Linked DNA regions of Oryzias latipes. The protein of the gene in region 2 purifies or fractionates together with the protein of the main gene of each other region. This does not show direct contact. Links are inferred from orthologs where the notes say so. Each region holds a gene or a part of one and is shown on either strand. Other genes may lie near its edges.

What was found.
Region 1: the proteins of kat5 (region 2) and histone H2A.Z purify together in Homo sapiens (affinity purification with mass spectrometry; 6 studies listed by BioGRID and IntAct, with this or other methods). This does not show direct contact. The link is inferred for Oryzias latipes from reciprocal best matches to the Homo sapiens genes KAT5 and H2AZ1.
Region 3: the proteins of kat5 (region 2) and atm purify together in Homo sapiens (affinity purification with western blotting; 3 studies listed by BioGRID). This does not show direct contact. The link is inferred for Oryzias latipes from reciprocal best matches to the Homo sapiens genes KAT5 and ATM.
Region 4: the proteins of kat5 (region 2) and mrgbp purify together in Homo sapiens (co-immunoprecipitation; 8 studies listed by BioGRID and IntAct, counting the BioPlex papers as one, with this or other methods). This does not show direct contact. The link is inferred for Oryzias latipes from reciprocal best matches to the Homo sapiens genes KAT5 and MRGBP.

The regions. Positions count from the first base shown.
Region 1 is NC_019876.2:29,621,052-29,627,131, forward strand, and holds histone H2A.Z, read right to left. Parts: upstream 3,859-6,080; 5' UTR 3,335-3,858; coding exon 3,332-3,334; intron 3,100-3,331; coding exon 3,022-3,099; intron 2,911-3,021; coding exon 2,797-2,910; intron 2,030-2,796; coding exon 1,900-2,029; intron 1,824-1,899; coding exon 1,762-1,823; 3' UTR 1,227-1,761; downstream 1-1,226. UniProt on the Homo sapiens protein: Variant histone H2A which replaces conventional H2A in a subset of nucleosomes. Nucleosomes wrap and compact DNA into chromatin, limiting DNA accessibility to the cellular machineries which require DNA as a template.
Region 2 is NC_019872.2:15,161,046-15,167,367, forward strand, and holds the start of kat5 (histone acetyltransferase KAT5), read right to left. Parts: upstream 3,797-6,322; 5' UTR 3,698-3,796; coding exon 3,677-3,697; intron 3,597-3,676; coding exon 3,530-3,596; intron 2,886-3,529; coding exon 2,817-2,885; intron 2,605-2,816; coding exon 2,453-2,604; intron 76-2,452; coding exon 25-75; intron 1-24. UniProt on the Homo sapiens protein: Catalytic subunit of the NuA4 histone acetyltransferase complex, a multiprotein complex involved in transcriptional activation of select genes principally by acetylation of nucleosomal histones H2A and H4.
Region 3 is NC_019871.2:24,872,602-24,876,661, reverse strand, and holds the start of atm (serine-protein kinase ATM), read right to left. Parts: upstream 2,801-4,060; 5' UTR 2,484-2,800; intron 2,104-2,483; 5' UTR 2,075-2,103; coding exon 2,003-2,074; intron 1-2,002. Other genes in the region: protein NPAT, read left to right, coding at 3,231-3,267, 3,457-3,575.
Region 4 is NC_019865.2:29,091,516-29,097,835, reverse strand, and holds the start of mrgbp (MRG/MORF4L-binding protein), read right to left. Parts: upstream 3,826-6,320; 5' UTR 3,749-3,825; coding exon 3,607-3,748; intron 1,102-3,606; coding exon 980-1,101; intron 906-979; coding exon 824-905; intron 1-823.

The DNA.
Region 1 (6,080 bases), on a different chromosome or scaffold from region 2:
GTGATTGGCCGTTGGGATTTTAGACATGATTAGGATTTAGTCAGATGTCTTCATGCAGGGGAGGGCCAATGCTGTAATGCAATGACTCTTTGTTCCTTCAGAACAGAAATACATTTTTACACATTTACTGGGAATTTTGTATTTGAAGACCAAAAATCAAATGAAGAAAAAGTTGTTTGTAAAAAAAAAAAAAAAAAAAAACTTGTCAACATTGATTTTGTTACGTTTATTCAATATTTACTGCTTTCTGTAAACGTCCAAATTTAAATCATAAACTATGAATGTTTGTGGTTTAGAATTATGAAGACAGACCTGATTGATTTGTGTTTACTCAAATGTTCCCATTTCCGCTTTTTACGTTTTTTAACAGTCGACATTTTAGAAACGAGCTGGAAAGAGTCAGAAAGTCCAGTGACAGTTTAGACGATCACGTTATGAAAAACTGCTGTGAGCAGCAAATGTTGACAGGAGAAATCTGAACGCAAGTCGCATTTGACCCATGGGCCGGACTTTGGACATGTCCCTGTAGACAAAATCTCAGAGTTTACATGACAAAGAGGGAAGCGGTGGATATTTTTCCTCCACTGCATCTCATCACTGATGAGCAGCATGGAGACCCAACTCTGCTTAGTGATGCCGGACGTGGTTCGTTTTCCACAGATGCATCAGGATGGAGCATGTTTGGTTTCCTTGTTCCAGTGATTCCATATGTTTGTGTCCCGGAGACACGTGTTGCATCGTGTCTCAGGCTTCACTCGTCCACAGCAGCAGTTCTGAGCTCAGACAACAGATCCGTCACCTTCAGAATCCAATAAAGACTCGGTTCTTTCTTAGAAACAGAGCAAATACAGCTGAAGGCCACCAGGGGGCAGCACTGTCCCACATTCAGAGTGGAGCTCCGGAGCGCGTGCCTGGTTCATGTCCGGGTCCTTCCTGCTGGCAGGTGGAGGTGGTAGAAACGGAGGTGGACGTCTGCCAGCAGAAAAACCCGAACATGCTCCAGAAAACCGCCATCAAGTCCAAAACAGACGTAAAGGTTTGGTCTCCAAACGGCAGAGTTTAGATTAAACCAGCTGATAGACTTCACAGTACTCTGCAAAAGACTCGTCTTTGAAACAGCTCAACTTCAGTTTAATAGGAAATGTTTTTCTGCTAGAGGTTAAAGGTCATTTCAGAGCGATAGCATCCATCACACCAGACCTGCAATGACTGAAAAACCACAGAAATCAAAGCCAAAAACTGCTTTATAGAAAACGTGGGAAAAGAAGCATGAAGAAGCATCGTCAGGAATTAAAACAAAGAGACCGTCTCCACATAAAATTTAATACAGAAAAGGACGCAGCAGGGAGCCTTGACCACGCCTGTGCAGCGGGAACTCCAGCATAAACGTGTGCTGCCACTCATGCATCAGTTCACACGCATCTTCAAATGTTTGGGGTCTTTCCCACATGCACGCCTCAGCCGCCGATGGTCGACCTCCTGACCCCTCGTCCTGCAGCCAGGTTAGAAAACTGAAAGCTGCTTCATTAAAACACCACTGAACATGGAAACGCCACGTTAGCGAGTGGAACACAGACGCTTGCAACACCAGGAAAGGCCAAAGGGACAAAGAGCTTCTCTGAAGCCACTTTAAAAAAAAAATACCCCGGGTGAGTAGACACAAATTCAACCATAAAAATCGTGAAAAGTTTTCTAATCTACGACATTGAACACTGGATGCTGACGTCCTCCTGAGATGGCACAATGTTCAGAGCACTTGGGTTATACCGTCTTCTGCTGGCCCTTCTTCCCGATCAGGGACTTGTGGATGTGCGGGATCACACCTGAAAGACAGGACACCTGTTCAGACCGGGGCGGGGCTTAGTCAGCCCGGGACGTCCAGGTGAAGCCCCCACTCACCTCCGCCGGCAATGGTGGCCTTAATGAGAGAATCCAGCTCCTCGTCTCCTCTGATGGCGAGCTGCAAGTGGCGTGGAGTGATTCTCTTCACCTTCAGGTCCTTTGATGCATTTCCTGCCAGCTCCAGGACCTGTGGAAAGCCAAAACCTCAGAAGGAGCAGAGGGGAGCCGGCCGGCAGGAGGCGCAGGTACGTTTCCTCCAAACCAGTGATCAGACCTGTGCGCTCGGCTGCAGCGTCCACTCTCGTTGAATAAACAGTTAGATCGGTAGGTAACATAAAGTATAAAAGTCGATAAACTCGTCTTTGATCTGCTTCTCACATCTTTTCGATCCTTGCAGTATAACGTAGGGAATTCTCCGGATGAATATCTTGGTTCTCAAAATCCCTCTTCAACTTTCTACAGTAAGTTAGTTGGTGTCTAATTTTGAAACTAGTCGATTTTTGCTGTTTTAATAAAAGAAGTTAGTAGGTACTGTTTTTTCGTTTGCAAGCAGTGCATGCTGGGACATGAGGTCATGTGACCGGTTTGGAGTACGCTGATTGGCTGCAGCCACTGTCCACCAACAAAGGATCAGATGTAGCTTAGTGAAGTACTTTTAGAATGTCGTACTTTTGATTAAATAACAGTTTCATTGTCGTTTCCTGTAGTTCGTTTGAATATCTTAGCAATGATGCCTCTTTCTTGGATTTTAAGGATAAAGTTATCACACTAAGAACTCTCATCTGTGATTCGGGTCACAAAACTTTTGCCTTTTCCCTTATATTTCAGGAATCAAATTCCGCCCTTCACTTCAAACGCCGTATCTTTCTTATTTTGACCCATCTGGATGATCCTTATACATTTGGAAAACTCTCTTTTAGATGACTTTTCGCCACATGCTGCAGCCGGTCTTACCTCTGCGGTCAGGTACTCCAGGATGGCCGCGCTGTACACGGCGGCGGTGGCCCCCACTCTGCCGTGGCTCGTGGTTCGAGACTTGAGATGTCTGTGGATGCGACCCACCGGGAACTACAGCGAGGAGGGATACAAGCGTTCACCGACAGGCGGAGCGCCCCGACCCGCGCCAGTACGGCCGGCCGCGGCGGGGCCAGCGGGAATGAATGAGCGGCGCTAACTGACCTGGAGTCCCGCTCTCTGCGAGCGCGAAATCGCCTTGGTCTTCGTCTTCCCGGAGTCCTTCCCAGCCTTACCGCCAGCCTGGAGAACACACAACCACAGAGTCGATCCACGGCCGGTAACGGCGCTCGGTGATCCAGATCGTTTATTTTACGACTCCGCGGGAAAAACTTGGTGGTTAGCATGCTAAGCTAACGCTAGCTTGTACCACATTTAGGCGCCACAGACGTTGATGCTCGGGCCCGCGCGGACTACCGGACAGAGGGGTTTCGGTCCGGTTATGTCGGTCGTTAAACGGTCGGGAATTACTTACCATGATGCCAAAGTATCACTTGGATTCAAAAGTACGCGCTGAAATCGGTATAGCTGCGTCCGGTGATGGCCTTAGAAAACAGCCGTTAGCCAGCGGGGCTTCTTCTTCTGCTGCTTTTTCTTCTTCTTCTTGTAGTTTAAATGGCGGGAGGCACCAACGACAAGGGCAGTACCGCCACCTGCTGTATTGGAGGATGGATCGTAGTTGGGGAATATCTAACCAAAAAACAAACTATATTCTCCTCAATAATCTGGTTCTGCTCATAAAAACCTATAATGCACCACTTAAATTCTCCTCCCCTCCCAAAAGCTTCTTTAAAACTCAGCCGTTCACCTCTATGAACTCTATTCTCCAGCTGTCGTCTTTCTTCCCCATACAGTTCACAATGACACAGAACAATCTCCACTGATTCTTCCCCTGTGTTATTCTTCTGAGGAGAATAACACCTCTATTTTTACCTGTAGATGTTTTCTTTTGTTTATTAAACTCCTTATACTGTAACAGATAAAAAGTTGGCTATAAATAAAATAAAATATATTTTGAAAACCTGCAATAATAAGCTGTTCCTGATTATTGTCATCATTGTTGTTGTTGTGTTGGTATTATTATTACTTTGTATAATTATTATTATTATTAATTCATCTTCTTCACTGTTTATTCCCTTTTGGGGTCATGGGGTTGCTGGAGCCTATCCCAGCCACTTGGGCTAAGGCAAGGGATGCCCTGGACAGGTCGCCAGTCTGTCCCAGGGTAGAATATCCTCAATCACACACCCATTCACTCTCACACCTATGGAAAATTTAGAGTTGCCAATCAACCTTTGAAGCATGTTTTGGACGGTGGGAGGAAACTGGAGATCCTGGAGAAAACCCACGCATGCACGGGGAGAAAATGCAAACTCCACACAGAAAGGTCCCCCATTGATGTTGTGTTTTTCATGTCACCCAGCTGGGACTTGAACTGGAGGCCTTCTTGCTGTGAGGCAAGAGCGCTAACCACTGCGCCACCGTGCAGCCCCTATTATTATTATTATTTATTTTAATTATTATTATGTCACACAGTTTTGCTGAAGTCTTTCAATTTAACATTGTGAAGTGTAATATATTGTGCCATCTTAGTTGACCAAAGGGGTTACAAATCTCCTCATTACAGTTTTACAACATGGAGACCCCCAAACAGCATTTTGCCTGGGCCCCCACAAAAGCTAGAAACGGGCCTGATAAAAACACAGACAGTCTCCAAAAATACAAAATGAACAAACGTGCAAAACTGCTCAGCAGTGTTGTGGATGTCATGTTGACCTGTGGCCACCAGAGGGCAGTCAGGGGTTCCACTCCACCCATCTGTCCTAGCTTCATGTGTCAGTTGTAAAGCTGCCTGTTCACTTTTGAATAAACATCTTGGTTTTAAAAAAGAAGCAGCGTCATTCCTCTGGAATTATCTCGCTAAAACCGTCATCTCTGCTGCTGTCAGTCATTCAGGCGGGTCAGTATGAAGGTCGCTGAGACCTTGGGACCTCAGCCAGTGTTTGAGCATCCGGAGTTTGTGATGGACCCCCACATTCACACCGGGTACTATCCTTCAGACCACAGTGCCCCCCAGCCAACAGCAGCTGTCCACTGCCTGCAGGGCGGGTGCTGGTCAGACGTACATCTGCGGGGTTTGAACCCTTAATTTTCTTGTTTCCTGAAGTTTAAAACTCAGACTAGATCATGTTAATTATTGCACTTTCCTCAATGAGGCCAGCGTAAACTTTTTTTACTTTACTAGTTTTAATGTTTCGTTTAAAAGGTTTTGAATGTTCTCAGTTTTCACTGGATGTCTGTTCTTTAGAGCATCTGGGGTCTAAAGGTTGATCCAGATCAGGAGTCTGCAACCTGAACCTCCACATGCGGCTCTTTTATCCCTCCATCGTGGCTCTGGGGCTGTTGCTGTTAAATGTTAAAAACAAAAAGTCTAAGTTGTCAAACACAATCCTGTCAGCATTCAATTCTTGTAAATATTTCAAAGCTACATTTTAGAAATGAAATCCTGAATGACCACAAAGACCACAAAGTGTAATTTTCTAAACCTGAAGTGGGACTTTGTGGCTCTCTGGGTTTTGCTCAGACAGAAAGCCGATCAAACGGCTCTTTTAGTGTTCAAGGTTCCAGATCCCTGATCTAGAAGATAGTTCTCCTCTCATTTCAGTAACTTCTATTTCTCTGACTGTTGGTGGAGAGGCTTAGCTAATTAAATGTCCTGACAACATTCAACAGACACCTTATCAGGTGTCCAAATGCTCGTTAACACAAATCTCTCATCAGCCAATCACACGGCAGCAATTTAATGCGTGTAGACATGTAGACATGGTCCAGATGATCTCTGCAGCTCAAACCAGCATCAGAACAGGGAAGAAAGATGATTGAAGTGACTTTGAACGTTGTTGTTGATGCCAGAGGTCAGAGGTCAGACTGGTTCCAGCTGATAGAAAGACAACAGGAACTCAGAGAACCACTGGTTCCAACCGAGGTCTGCGGAAGAGCATCTCTGAAAGAACAACACGTCCAACCTGGAGGCAGATGGATGACAGCAGCAGAAGACCACACCGGGTTCCACTGCTGTCAGCTAAGAACAGGAAACTGAGGCTACAATTCACACAGACTCACCAAAACTGGACCATAGAAGATGGAAAAACCTTGTCTGGTCTGATGAGTCTCCATTTCTGCTGCCACATTCAGATGGTTGGGTCAGAACAACATGGAAGCAT
Region 2 (6,322 bases):
CAATTATGTCTGGTGTTATATTACCTGTTTCTTCTGCAAAGCTGTGTCATTGTTTGTATCTTTCTTCTCACTCACCTCACAGGAGAAAAGCAGACATGTGTTAAGGGCTGACAGCGGGGTGTCATTACATGATACAAAAGATCCACATTTGACATATAAACAGAAAAATACTGAGACTTTGGGTTCAAGGACCAATAATATGGGATTTTTGTCTCAGTAGTGAAAAAGAAAGTAGTCCCAGTCAGCTTTAAGGGCTTAGTTAATTACACATTTAAGGAGCAAGAAAGACTGAAGAATAGAGATTTTATAGTTAATACAATTTTACATAAAGTAAACCAGGAGATCATCATTCATTTCAATGAAACAAAAACACAAAAGGCAGTGTGTGGAAAAATTGAAAACTTTGATTTACTTTTTCTTTTCCACAGATTAACAGCATTTCTTGGATCACTAGTTTGCTACCTAATCCAGTTTTTTTTAAAAAAGGTTAAGAGCAGCGTGTGTAAAAAATAAAGCAAATTTCCCAATTACTTTGTTTCAGACGCCATAATTATTGGACAAACTTTTTCATGGCCAAGAAAAATAAAGAGGTCAGCTGCAAATCTCAAAGATGAAACATTGCTAAACCAAATCATAGATGGATTCTAATCGTGGTCTTATTAATTCAAGTTTAAAAGGATAAATCAGAAATTCTCAGCCTGACTGATATAAATGCCAAAAACCTGAATGCTCAATTCTTCGCAGCCGTCTAGCAGGAATTTGGGGTTTGATTTACTCTTTATAGTGTTTTTGTGAACAATGGAATAGTGCATTTAAACAATAATACACTGCAGTGTTCCTTATTAAAAAGATTGCTTTGTAACAAACATTTTTTGGGATGAAAAATCCTAAATGAGGTCCTTAAACTCTGAGATAAGGGTTAAGCTTCCTGATGTTTTCTAACAAAAACAAACACCTGTTGGTAACCAGATGCTCAAGCAAACCCAAACTGGCTGCTACTTAAAGATTCTTCTCATTTCTAGAAAGTTATGGTCTTACCAAGTTTTTCCACACACTGCTTCAGCAGTTTAATAACTTATTCAGGAAATAAAACAGTAAAGAATATTAAAATATGTTCTTTTTTAGGCACAGCATTTACATGAATAAATTATAAAATATTATAGTAATTAACATGAATATTGCAGAGTGCTGTGCTGTTGCATTTTGCCCCGTCAGCCCCAACATCTGTTTGCTACTCCTTGTGCTCTCAGACAGACAACTTTGACCAAACTGAGTCTCAGTTTTAGGGATAGCTCTCCGGTGCCACCATACTTTGGTTCTAGAAAATAAGTCTGAAACATGGACTGAAACATGAATCCTCACTGTTATGCAGTCACCTCACAGAGCACAGTTTGAAGAGAAAGCAGACAGCGCAGTGATTTAGGTAATTTAGAGACAACCCCCCCCTGAAATTATAATAACATTAAACTTTAACTGGCAAAATTTCAAACTTTAAAGAGAGTCCACAGCTCAAATAAAGTGTGAGGGTTGAGTTTTAAGGAGAGAGTCAATATCAACTCTACGGGGCGTTATTTATCCATTTAATTATGAGAACTATTCATTTTTTTAAGTAACAATTGATTCAACAATATCATTTTATTCCAATTTTAGTTATATTTGTATCAGAGGCATCTTGAGTAAAGCATCAAATAAATCTTGAACATTTGCTTTGTTGAATTTGATTTTTAACCATTTTGTTTCTCTGCTTTGAAGCTAAAGGAAGAATTCTAATCTACTTAAGTTTATAGCCTGTGTCATTTAGAAGAGAAACAGGGCAGCAACTATTGTCAATGCATGCTGTTCAAGAAGGATTTTGTCTGCAAAACACCTAACCCAAATATGTTGCAGATGACCGACATTGCTGAGTGTCGACATAAACCTGGTCTGTCTGTTTTTCATCAGACAGAATGAGCAGGAGACTGCAGAAGCTGCTTTACCAACTGACTTACAAAAAACCCAGAGATGCCATTCATGCTTTTGCCGTTCATGCTTTTGTTGTGATTGTGTGTGGCCCTTGAAATAGTGAGCAAAGACACATTTTCAAAAGAAAACCAGACTTAACAGCATACAGACAAAACTTTCCAACTATATATAACTATATATATACACTATATATATGTAGTGCTTGACAACACTCATAAAACAGAAACAGATTATGATAAAAAAAAAAAAGGTCCTAAAAACAAGCCTGGCAAGTATGCAAGTATGTTTTGTTTTTGTGACTGGAAAAAAAACCTGTAGATTCAATTTTTTATCAAAAAAAAACTCAACTTCAATAAGATGGAAACTAAGCAGTCAATGAAAATAGTCTTTCACAACCAACTGTTTTCCAACAGTACTGTTGGGGAACTGCCGTAAACATTTAAATGTAGTTTACTAATGCTTTATTATGAATCTTCAAGGGTAAACTTACTGGTACTACTTCTCTTTCTGCTCTTTCTGGTGAGCTAGGACGCGAGCCTGACAGTCCATTCTTTGTGGGTGTTTTTGCTTCTTTTTTGGGAAACTGGAGCTTCTTCATGTCCAGCCTGTCTGCTGTGACCCATTCATCCAAGCGCTTGTTGACTGCAGACACACACAATTTTACATTACCAACTAAAAGACCAACTGTTATGAAAAGATTATTTTTTTCCGTCCATATGAAACACGACCGAAACTAGAACGTTCTTTATGTGTTTGGAATCACTTTTGTTTTTTCTGAAACAATGACATGAATGAAAAGTCTAAGCTTTCTTTAATGATAGTGAAACAGGAAAGATGAACTTTGCTTTACTCACAGTCAATGTAGTGAACATAGAACAGCTTTCTTCCAGAAACCTCCTTCAAACTCAGGATCTCAGCCAAAGCTGCACAAGTAGAAAAGAAATTATAAATACTATTTACAAAGTAAACACACAGCTATTTTATCTTAATTCAAGTGGAAAATGAACATTCACAGTTATAATTAGTGCAAGAGTGGTTTTGCTTTTTAGCGCCAAGATAAAAATGGGTATTGCTTACTTTAATCACACTGATGATGTGTAACAAAGCTAGTACTTTGATTTAAATAGCTTGGAACTACCTCAGGAATTCAACAAACTAGATGAACTTATGCTCTTTTAAGAAAAAACATTGTCATCTTTAACTTCAGCTCTCATGTCTACATGATGAACTGTACTGGACAGCAGTGAATTATCACAATTTATACAATCCTTGCGTATGAAACTCAACCTTTTTTTAAATTCGTAATTTAAAATGTAGGGCTTTTGAAAAGCAAAATGTAATTCAGACTTATCTAAATTTCTAGTGTTTAAACATTGCGACTAAATGATTTCCAGCCCAAAAACACAAATAAAGAAGTAACAAAGCAATTTAGACCTAAACGAACAGTTTCTACCATAGCAGTCACTGCATTTTATCTGAATTTGTTTTTAAGGTTTTTTTGAAGGCCGTCATATTTGTTTGTTAGTTAGCATTAGCTTAGCTCTAAGCACGAACGAAAAGTACTTACGCCACTCATCCTCATGTTCCTGGTTTTTACGAAGAACGGGGAGGCGACAGCCTTCCACAATTTCGACCTGTTGATAAAACAGCAGATGTTAGTATCCAATAGTAGCTGTTATTTTTAAAAACAATAATATACGTTTCCATAACCTACCGAAGAACAGTTGTCCGCCATTTTCGTCGTTGGTGTAAGCTGCTGCAGTGTGTTGTGGGAAAATGCCGGTCCACATCAAAGACGTAAAACGCAGTGAGACTGAGCATGCGTCGCTAAGCGGAAGTTATGGAGCCAACCCGGAAATTTTTTTTTTTTTTTTTTTATTGATGCAGAACAAAAGTGACATACAGCAAAAGAACAAGGAACAATAAGCTGTACATCAAATGTTCAAAATAAACGCCAGGGGATATGCAAGCAAAAAAATAAACTTACACTAAATTATACAGCTGAGCAAGGTGATACGTTTTAATAGCTTTTTTGTTTGTACTGGGGGAAATGGAATGTAAGTAACATCTAACTTGGGCTAGTAAATCAAGAAAATTAGGAGCTTTATTGCTGAATTTAGATTTGTGAATATAATACTTGGTTAATAAAATTAGAAGATTTATTAAATAAAATTGAGATAAAAATGTCTTATCATAATTAATGTAACCAAATAAGATGTTTTTCCAGGTTAAATTAAAATGTGGATAAATTTGAGTTTTTATCAAATTTGTCATTTTGTCCCATATTTTTTCAGTGTACTTGCAGGTCCAAAAAATATGCACCAACGTTTCCTCAGACTGAGAACAGAAAAAACAGTTTTTATCAATATCCCTTTTTAGCCTTTGCATATACTGATTTGTTGGATAAAACCTATGAATGATCTTGAATGAAACCTCTTTCACTTTGTTGTTTAGAAGATATTTGTTTGGCAGAAGCCAAACCTTTTCCCAACACATTTGACCATGAAGTGAAGTCCAGAAAGTTATGGCCGGGGATTCAGTTTTGAGCTCCTGCTGGAACAGTCTTCGGATGGTTTTGTTTTGATTTCTCAAAGCAGAGAAGCAGAGTTTTCCGACAGCAGTGTCTGTCACATGAAGCTGTGGTTGGGGAGCAGATGGAGTAGGAGTTCCTTTATAAAGATAGGTGAGGTTGAGGGAAACGGCATCAAAAACAACCGAAAAGTCCTTCATAGAAACAGGGATCTGGTAGAACTGAAGGAATTCGGTGTAAGTGTAAAGTTGACCTTGTTGATTGAATAATTGACTAACTAGTCTGATATTATTATCAAACCACTGTTGGATAAAGATAGTTTTGTTTTTGTAAAGAATATATCTATTGTGTCAAATGTAAAACCTGTGAGGAGAAAAATTATGTTTATAAATCATGGACCAAGCAAGTAACATCTGTTTATGAAATGAAGATAGTTTGATGGGCACTTTGTCGGGCTTGTAGGTGCAGAGGAGTAAAAAGTCGAGGCCACCAACCTGGGAGAAAATATAATTGGGAATGAAGTTCCACAGAGAGTTCGGATTTTTCAAAAACTTTCTTATCCAATTAATTTTAAAAGTCATATTTAGGGTACTGAAATCTAGAAAGTTCAGACCCCCACTAGTGTAATCATTCATTAGAACAGATTTCCTTATATGATGAGTTCGGTTTTTCCAGACAAAGTCGCATAGCAGTTTATCAACAGTTTTGCTAAGGATGTTACTGACATAAAGAGACTGAGCGGCATAAATGACTCTGGAGAGCCCTTCAGCCTTGGAGAGGAGAATTCGACCTTTAATGGAAAGGTCACGTAAGAGCCAGAGGTTAAACCTCTTTTTCATTTTATTAATAATTGGAAAAAAGTTAGCATTACCTCTATCATTTTCAGTTTTTGATATTATTATGCCAAGATATGTGACTGATGTCTTTACAGGAATATTAAAGAGTGAATCCGAATCACAAGATTTAATTGGGAGGAGTTCACATTTTTTCAGATTTAATGAAAGACCGGCTGCTTTGGAAAAGGACGTAATTATATTTATTGCTAATGGAATTTGTGAGCTGTCTTTAAGAAAGAGAGTGGTATCATCGGCGAGCTGACTTACGACAATAGATCTACCAGCGATGGAGATCCCTCGTAATGGACTGGATTTAATGTGGTCACAGAGAAGCTGAGCTACAAGAAGAAATAGATATGGAGATATGGGACAACCCTGTCTAATCCCACGTTTTATATCAAACCTAGGTGATGAACCATGTTTAAGTTTAATGGAGCAGGTGGCATTGTTGTAAAGAGTTTTAATGACTTTGCAGAAGTAGTCACCAAAACCAAATTTTTGTAAGGAACGATACAGGAAGTTATGTTCTACTGTATCAAAGGCCTTAAAAAAGTCCAGAAATAGCATAAAAGAGTCATGTGCAATTAGATAAGAGTAATCGAGTATGTCCAAAACTAAACGAATGTTGTTTGTGATATGTCTGTTGGGTAAAAAACCTGATTGTGATTCATCTATTACTGAGTTAAGAACAGATTTAATTCTTTTAGCAAAAACTAAAGCTAAAATTTTATAATCATTATTAAGAAGACAGATGGGTCTCCAATTATCAATATAGAGTAAATCTTTGTGAGGTTTTGGGATCAGGGTAATAAGTCCTTGGGTCATACTCCAGGGTAGGGTGTCATTAGAAATACTTTCATTGTAAACTTCCAGTAAAAAGGGCGCCATCTGCTGGTAGAATAAAGTATAAAATTCAGTAGTTAATCCATCAGTTCCTGGAGATTTATTTGTTTTTAACATCTTGATGCAGTCACAGACTTCTCCAAGACTTACT
Region 3 (4,060 bases), on a different chromosome or scaffold from region 2:
GACATCCAGTACAGCCAATCAGAGTAGAGTATTCACCCAAACAAGGGGTCTGCAACCTTTAACGCTAAAAGAGTCATTTGGGTTAGTTTCTAAATGAACAAAACCTAGTGAAAGCCACAAATTCCCACTTCCCTGTTCGAAAAACAAATTTTATTTATGTTTCTCAGGCCATTTAGCTATTCATTTATAAAATCACTTCAAAATATTTACAATAATTTAAGTATAAAGTGAATGTTTTTTTCTGTGTACTGTATAACGATTTGACTGTCTTTTATTATTACAGCAGCACACACAAATTCTTTTCAAAAATAAATTAGACCAAAATGATTGTTTCAAATAAGATCCTCCAGCTGAAGCACATTTAACTGCAAGAAAGCTACGTAAAGCTTGACATTTTCTATCATGACGTCACCCCCTTCTGATGAGTTAAAAATCCAAACAAAACCTTATTAACTGAAATAAATGAACAAAAAACACAAATCCATTATTTAACCAGTGGTTAGCGCTCTTGCCTCACAGCAAGAAGGCCCCTGGTTCAAGTCCCCGGCTGGGGGACCTGAAGCAGAACATCGATGGGGGACCTTTCTGTGTGGAGTTGGCATGTTCTCCCCGTGTATGCGTGGGTTTTCTTTGGGGACCCCGGCTTCCTCCCACAGTCCAAAGACATGCTTCATCATAGGTTATTGGATCCTCTAAATCAGGGGTCGGGAACCTTTTTGGCCAAGAGAGCCATAAACGCCACATATTTTTAAATGTAATTTCGAAAGAGCCATACAATAATGTAGTGTCCTTTTCCCACACGGAGACTTAACCTCTTTTAAGGTTCTTTATTCTGGTTAATGCAGGCTGTAACAAATGCCGTAAATTAATTCAGCAGCTCCTGAATCTCTCCCGCCGAGACGAGAGCGCTTCTCCCAACTTTATATTCCCCCCTCCCGCTCCAGCCCTCCCATTTCCCTTATTCGGCCCATAGCTGAACCCCATTGGTCCAAATTAACTAACAACAAGCTGAGCGACAGAACTAAGAGCCAATCAGATCTCTGCTTGATGCGTTCAAGGAACTCCAGAACTTTTAACGCGGCCCAACAGCCAAGTTAAACTCAGTCCGCTACAATATGTTTAAAACTAAATATTCAAGTGAATGTGTGCATTTGATATAATTTCAACACTTTTAAAGTACAATAAGTCTGTGGATTATTTTTAATAACATTGTTATGCTGTTGCTAATAAATGATGAGTATTTCTCGTGGTAGTTTTGTTGATGGTCTAGTCTGGTTGATACGTGGTGAGTTTCTGCTTCGTTCAGGCGTTGAGACTTTAAACGTGATCATAGGTCTGAATGTTCTGTAAATGTGAGACAGACTGATCACATGCAGACGCGGAGCCAAACACACACACTCACACGCTGCAGTGAGTGACGGGCAGCAGGTTTTATGTTTTTACAATCCCTGCGCGGTTCACCTTACTGACCGAGCCCACAACTCCACCCTCACCCTCTGCTTTCTCCCTCTCAGTCACATCCTGTCCCCGCTACTGCGCGCTCTTTCTCAGAGACGGGGGCGCGCAGTTTTAGGCACGGCAATTCACAGGTTTCCGGCTGGTACAAACTCTGTGAAATAATAGATAATTGTAAACTGATAATGCTGGCGCAGATCCTTCTCTCCAAGCACCGCTACTACTGTGCGCCTCTGCCATCCCATCGCGCCCGAGAAGGACTGGTCTAATGAAAAAGAAAAAATTAAAAATGTGTCTGCGAGCCACATGTGACCATCAAAAGAGCCATATATGGCTCGCGAGCCATAGGTTCCCGACCCCTGCTCTAAATTGTCCCTAGGTGTGAATGTGAGAGTGCATGGATGGGTGATTGTGACCCTGCAACAGACTGGCCCCTGTCCAGGATGTCCCCTGCGTTCGGGATAGGCTCCAGGGATTCAAAGATGAATGAATGAAAGATATAATTTTTCTACTAAGTCCCCAAATGTTAGGATGTTTGCGTTTTTACCTTTCTCTCAGTAGCTTTATCATGTTCCAGCCCTCTGCAGCAGAGCAGTAAATCATGTAGAGCCAGACTCATCCTGCTTCACAGCTGATTGTTGTACCTGTCTGGACAACATCAAAGCATCATCACATCTGTTCCAAATATCAACATACACAAAGGCTCTGTAAGGTCTCTGACTGCTTCCATTCAAGGCAAAATGCAGAATGGTTTATGCTCTGCAAACATGAGGATTGTCAGCATAGTGTGGGTGTGTACAGACAGCTGTCACGTGGTGGATGGATGTCTTTTTAAAGCACCTTAATGCCTTCAAAGTACCACAGAAGGTCGCCCAGGCAAAGGCTCGTTCAAATTCTGTGCCAAATGCAAAAAAATGAAGCCAGACGTGCAATAATAAACGAGAATTGTTAGGAGTTGTAGACTTGTCATTGTGTTGTTAGAAATCGCTTTAAATTTGTGCAAATTTCGGGGTTTTGTCTTTTGTTACCTGAGTAAACTTTGCTGGCAGAGGGGGAGAAAAGCTCATATAATTATCTTGCAGGGCGGATGAGAAAGCGAAAGTTTCTGTCCTCTTCCTTTCAAAAAAAAAAAGGTAAAAAAGGTTGGAGGGAAATGGACTGACACACATATGGGACCGGTTGCTCTCGGCTTCTTTACGGACCTCAGGTGACTGTTATTTCCAAGCTGCCCAGCGCTCGTGCACAGACAGGTGTTAGCCAAGGTGCTACTGTCCCTACAGCAACTTTTCCATTCCCCTCGACGTGCGTTAGCAGCTACACGCACACGCAGATTCCCGCCCCAGTACCAGTGACGTCTACTTCCTGGTCGTATACGTCTTGAACGACTTTATTTATTTATTTATTATTTAAGAAACGCATGATTTCGTTGCACTTTTACATAATATTTAATGTAATTAGAAGTTGAGACTGTCTAAAATTTTAAAATTAGAAAATGTGCCGTTATTTGTGGCGTTTTAAAACACCTAGCTAAGATTTTCTGTGTTGTTAACTACAATTACCAGAGATCTAATCGGTGTGTCACTTTAAGTCTTCCGGGTTATACATGATTGAGTTCCCCGCCTTTTGAAATAGCTGGAGTACACTCAGCCTCAGGACAACAACATCACCGAAATCGACTAGTTTTATGTTGTCTATTTATAGTCGCTAATTCTTTTACTTGACGTTTTTGTGTATCTTTTAAACCCCGAATATATCGTATTAGCTGTTAGGCTGCCATGTTGCTCCCTTCTGATGTGGCCCGGCTTGTTTTGGGTAAGTCAAAGCCAGAGGAAGGAAGAGGGGATTGTAGCTGTAGCTTTTAGCCTGTCTCGAAAACGAAGGGTAAGATGGGCGGATTAAAGCTGACAGGGCTCACCGGCTTGGGATAGCAGTTGGGTTTTCCGTTTGTGTTCGTGCAGTTTCTTTTTGGGGGTGAGCAGTTTGATTTCCATCTTTCTTCAGGATACCTGCAGGAAGAGGGACTGCCAGCCACCAGCAGAGCTTTTATTCACGAGAGCCCAAACCTGAAGGAGTATGCCGAGCACACTATTGGAGATGGGACCATTCCTGCATGCGTTTTTGTGAGTCTTTCTTCCCCTTTTTTTTTTTTTTTTTTTTTTTTATAGAACAATACAAAACAATACCAGAACATTTACATAAAAATTACAAAATATGGCGAATACAAAAGAGAATACTATAATTGGAAAGGAAGCAAAAAGAAGAAAAATTCTTATCAGTATGCAAACATAAACCTATGTATATTCATAATCATAGAGAAATCAGGGAAAAGTATAACATAAGAGAACAACAATTTCAGAGTTGGATAGTGTTGCAAAAAGCAGGGGGATACAAAATATAAATAAACTGTCTTAGACATCAGGAATATCACTCAGGGTGTCATAAATTGTTATGGCTTTAGGTGAGTCGATTAACTTTATGGATTTTAAGTATAAATTGACCTCATTATTAAAGAAGCTAAAGCTGGGGTGGCATTTCTGTAACCTATTTTTGTGTATAAAAAACTTGTCTAAACATAACACAGTATTGATACATACATTATTTACAT
Region 4 (6,320 bases), on a different chromosome or scaffold from region 2:
AGTTAATCATTTTGAGGGAACGGAATAGTATCTTGTGGGAACGGAATAGTATCTTGTGGGAACGGAATAGTATCTTGTGGGAACGGAATAGTATCTTGTGGGAACGGAATAGTATCTTGTGGGAACGGAATAGTATCTTGTGGGAACGGAATAGTATCTTGTGGGAACGGAATAGTATCTTGTGGGAACGGAATAGTATCTTGTGGGAACGGAATAGTATCTTGTGGGAACGGAATAGTATCTTGTGGGAACGGAATAGTATTTCGTGCGAACGACATAATAACCTGTGGGAACAAGATATTAATCTGTGGGAACAAGATATATTTTTATATCTTAATGTCAGGACACAGGCTCCGTAGAGGAGAGACAGGCAGAGGATAATGGAGGATGGTATCAAATTCACCTCAGCTTCTCCACTTTAGCTTCATTAACCGTTTATTATGAATGAAATGCTGGAGAGGTTTGGTGTTGCAGTTTTTCTTTGACAGCTTCCTCTCCTGCAGGTGTTCCTCAGCCTCCTCTACCTCAGCCTTCAACAGCAAATGCAGATAAAGCTGGAGACTTTTGGCATCGTGCAGAAAGAAAGTGAACAATAACTGAATCTAAGACAACCCAGGACACTAGAGGGACGGTGCTCGGCTGGCCTCGGAGTCCAGCTGATGGGACAGAAGGAGGTTTCTGTGGACGAGGAGGTCTGAGCATCTAGCCTTCGCGACCCGGCTCCGGATAAGCCAGTGAAGGGGAGTGAGTCCATGTGATTACGCTAGCCTGACTGATGTCAAATGAACCTGGTTGGAAGCGGCTCCACGGCTTCTGCTCTCACCTTCTTTGACTTCCTGGATGATGTCATCAGGCAGAGAGAAGGCCTTCTCTGTGTTAGGAAATGGCAGGATTTCGGACTCGTGCTGCGGCACACAGGAAAAGGGAAATCAGCCAGACTTCAGAGACCCTGCATGTGTGTGCGGGGGCTCTTCCTCACCAAGGCCTGCATGTCGTACATGGTTCCCAGATGGTCCCAGATGACGGAAGACGAGACCTGCCGGCCAATGTTCTGACTGAACTTGTCTCGGATGCAGATCATGTGGAAATGGCGGTTCACTCCTGCACGTGCACACACACACACACACACACACACACACACACACACACACACACACACACACACACACACACACACACACATCAGAGCTTCTTCAGCTTCATCAGCACACAAGTGTCTTGCTTCACTGACTACAAAGCAGTCTATAGTCCCTTCATGAAGCATTAATGACTAGACTAGCCGGCCTCTATAACAGACACGACACAGTCCATCGTGTTCCAATGCAGCAGTCTTATCAAATTGAACTTTATTAATAAAAAGCTCATCTGTGCAAACAACCCCCCTCCCATCGTTAACACAACATCCCATGGGCCCACACACACAATGAAGCCTTCTAAAAGAAGATTCAGCGATATGTCGCAATTGTTCATTTGGCGATATTTGTATAAATTTAATCGTCAGGACGATCTTTATTTAATTATTTCTGATCGTCCTTCAGCGTCTGACTCTTGTTGTCCACTTCACCCTCCGACCGCTAGTTGGCAGCAGAGCCTCTTTGAGCAGCTCTACACGCACAAAACAACAAGATCTCAGCTACAAGCAGCTTGTTTTGTTGTTATGAGATATGAACTACTTAGTTTTTACTTGGGATGGATATCAAACCGAAACTCTGTTCCATGTTGCTGCCAGTAACATAAAAACACAGATTGCAGTGCTTTTTAGAGGCTCAGATAAGAACGAGTGAAGCACTGCAGCTGCACAGAGGCTAATGCACGGAGCATCAGGCAAAATGCTGTCAGCAAAGCGGGTCAAAGTTCTGCAGAACCTCACAGCAATAGATTCTAGTTTAGTGACCAGAGTGATGTATCCAACGCTCTGAAAAAAGGCCGACATCGTGGCGATGCCGTGTTCACATCCACGTGAGAGAAAACAGCTGCAGCAGCAAACTGATATGTAAATAAAGCATCTTAGCCACATTAAAGCGTCTCCTTCATCCTGTCATGCTGCCTCATCATCACACTCATTGTTTCTGGAAAGAATCCGTGTTTTTTATTTTCTTTCTTTTTGAAACGCCATTCAGGCTCCTAAACTGTTTAAAAGTTCTGGAGAAGCTACACTAAGCAATGTTGAAAATAAACAGCACTTTATTAACTCAATCATACTTTTAGAACTGTATTGGCTAAGGCACATTCATTCATTTTATTTTTTGTTATAATGAAAAATAATTTGTTGTGAAAATCAGACAATGTTGACTGTTCCCTTTATATATTTGAAGTTCCCACATAAAAGCACTATGAATTTGTTTGGGTAAAAGCAACTTATATATGAGATACAGTTGCAGTGCTTAACATTATGATCACTAAATAATCCGAATTTTACAATTTTAGTACAATGAAAGATGTATTTATATTCAGGTGCAGTTTTATTTTAAGTCATACTTAAAATAAAACATCTTCTAGTAAAATATCGTGGGTACATATTGTGTAACCAGACTCTTGCCGATACAAGCCTGTAATTGTAAAAGCGTTTCAAATAACTATGATGCTGATGTTTTAGCCAAAATAAAAAAACTTGTGTCGTTTTCTAGGACATAGTTTCTGAGGAGCAGCAGGAGAGTTGTGGGCGCGGAGCAACCGTTCCTTCCCATCACCCATAACTGAGAGCTCTCTGTTTACATGCTCTCCCATTAGCTAACACCCCCCCCACCCTCACCCCCAAACTTACGTTAGCGGCTGCACAAAAATGGCAGCAATAATCGTAGCTTTCCAGACGTCCAGATTCCTCAGACGATGAAAACAAAAGACATTCATGGATCCATTGGTCTGCAAGCGAGTGCCTCAGAATGGGGGCGGGGCAGGGAGCTTGTGGCCCCGCCCAGCGTATTTTCTACATCACAAATACTTTTTTTCCAACTGCATTTCTACATCTGCTCATGATTCACAGCGATTTGAATACAGAAATTCTCAGAAATGCAATCCTAATTTTCTTTATAAATGTCCTCCATCATCAGAAAAACACTACTAGAACATGTAAAAAAAAAAAAAAAAACACGTTCAGGCAAATCTAAGTCTGATTTTCTGCAGCTCCAACAGCACACGGAGTTACACGGGGTCCTGCTAGCAGGAGCTGAAAAGACCTTCAAGCTTTTGGTTCCCATTGATGCACAGGAACACAACTTTGTGTTTTAGCATTTCCAACACTCTTCAGCCTGACAGAAACTACTTTCAGTGGATCTACTACTCCCTCCAAGACGGTGGTGGACTTGGGACATGTAGAACTGAAGCAGGCAGTCTTAGTTTCTGTGCCCCCTTTAGCTTTACATTCTCAACTTAATCAGGGGTTGTTGTTGTTGTTTTGTTTTGTTTTTTTAAACAAATACGTCAAATAAAATTTGAGAATTAATCTCTCAAACCTTTAATAAAATCTTCTAAGACGTCTGCAATTCCCCAGCTTACATTTGACAATGAACCATGTGAATCTGATGTAAATACAAAAGCGGCTGAGCGCTCCGGCTAGCGTGCTAGCTTAGCAGCACAGACTTTAATGTGATGACAGGCGAGTCTCACCCACGGGTTTGTGTCCGATCATGGCGTGGAACAAACAAACCTCCACCTCATGGCTCCAGACCACCGAGTCCTCCCCGGGGGCCAGCCCCGAGTCCGGGGGCTTCTCCTCCGCCTGGCTCAGCGTCACGTCTGCTTCACCCATCTTAAACTAAGCGTTACAAATGCAGACAACAGATTCAGTCCTCCATTCGTCAGCGTAACCGGAAGTTGCGTACAGGATGCACAAAACTATACTAAAACTAAACACAAAATAGAATAAAGACAAAACACAAAAATAAAACAAAACACGACAAAATAAAACACAAAATAGAATAAAAGCAAAACAAAAACAAGACACAAAATAAAAAACAACACACAAAATATAACAAAACAAAAATAAAATAAGAACTAAATGTAAACATGCGCATCAAGTAGGATGTTGTGGGGAAAAACACAATTGCAGTTAATGACCACAAATGTATTTAATGCATAATCATTGATCATCAGAACGGCCACCAGCAAAGACAAAACGATCTTCAATTAAAAAAAATGAATGAAGCATAATTCAGAAGCTCTTTGAATTGTACCCCGCCGTTTGCCCAACAGTAGCCGAGAAAGGATAGAGCAGGGGGGTATTCCAGGAAGCATGTTTAAACTAGCCTGACTTTAACCCTGAACTCTGGCTGAAATCCGCCTGAACTTGCTTACTCTGGGTATGTCGGTTCCAAAAGATATAAGTTAGCGTAACTACGCTCGACTTGGTTACCCTGGGTTAATGCACGTGCACAGCAAGTCCTTAAAAACATTCTCAATGGATCGCGAATTTCCAGAGTCACCATGGAAACACATGGATAAAAAGAGAGCGCTATACTTTAGTGAGACGGTGTCAGAGATTTTAATGACGGCATATAAAGATTATACGTCCATCAATAAAGTAATACGGCTGCATCATCAGCAAAAGAAAGAGTTTCTGCTTGGAGAAAAAGAACGGACAAAGTAAACGCAAAGTAAACACATTTTCATTGTGACGCATACATATATATATAACTTATCCAACTTAGATTAATTCAATTGGTAACAAGTAATTGAGTTAAATTTATTCAACCTAATTTCTTACGTCTATCTTACTCAATATTTTTTTACAACTCAAATTTACATATTTATCTAACTAAATGTCATATTACTCCAATTCAGTTAAAGTTTTTACATCTCAATTTATTGTACTTCTTGAACTCTCATATGTCTAAATTTGAGCCTGCAAATATACTCATTTATATAAAAATAAATTGAATGAAATAAAATGGATTTCTATTATTGAACTATAAACACTGTCTCTGAATTTATCATAGCGCTACTTCACAATAGGGGTGCTATATAAACAAATCATCCTCTCCCTCCCTCTCACTCATGGTGCAGAAAGAATTTAACATAACAGGACAAATAACTCGGCAAAACACAGTAAAAAAGCTAAACAACTAAACACATTTGGACAAAAACCCACACTTAAACCTCAATCCGTCCAGACAGGCAAAGGGAATGGTATCCCACAATCCTTTGCCGTGCCAATCTAACGGCAGCACCAAAGTTACACCTACTTAATTGAAATAATTTGAATGAAAGTAAAATAAATGTCTGATAACTACGTATTATTTTTAAGCTGACTTAACTAAAAAGAAATGATTTCTCTTAACTGAAGCAAATAATTAAGTTAGATCAAAGTAAAAAAGTTTATTTTTCCAACATCCAAACGTAGTCTTATCACCCTCTCATGGTGGAAAAAGTATTATCTGAGCTTCTTCATCCACTAAATCATCTTTAAATGGACACGACATGCTGCTTCACCTCTCTGTAAACAAACTAACCTTCAACTAAACCTGCTCCAGACCAAGGGGGTATTCCAGGAAGCATGTTTAAACTAGCCTGACTTTAAGCCTGAACTCTGGCTGAAATCCGCCTGAACTTGCTTACCCGGGGTATGTCGGTTCCAAAAGACCGGATATGAGTTGGCGTAATTACGCTCGACTTGGTAACCCTGGGTTAATGCACATGCATGTCAAGTACATAAAGACATTCTCAATGGATCGCCGATTTCTGGCGTCACCATGGAATCGCGTGGAAAAAAAGAAAGCGCTATACTTCAGTGAGACAGAGTCTGAGCTTTTATTGACGGCATATAAAGATTATACGTCCATCAAAAAAGTAATATGGCTGCATCCGCAAAAGAAAGAGTTTCTGCTTGTAGTAGAAGAACAGACAAAGTAAACGCAAGAGTTTCTGATCTAATTTCCATTTTCCTTGTGACGCATATATATATATATATAACTTATCCAATTTTGCCACCTTAAATGAATTACTTCTATTGGTAACAAATAATTGAGTTGAATTTAATCAACCTAATTTTTTACGTCTATAAAACTCTATAATTGTTTATACAACTAAAATTTATGTATTTATCTGACTAAATGTCATATTACTCAGATTCAATTAATATTGTTTCCATCTTAATTACTTATATTTCTTGATCTCTCATTTGTCTAAGTATGAGCCAGCAGATATGCTCATTTTTATAACAATGAAAAGGACGGGAGAAAAATGCACATTGCGTACAAATTCATTAAAGAATTATCCATCATTTTCATTACAGGTAATGCCTGTAGGGGTGCTATTTAAACTCATCATCCTCTCCTTCACTCTTACTCATGGTGCAGAGACATAAGCACAGTAGGACTAAACAA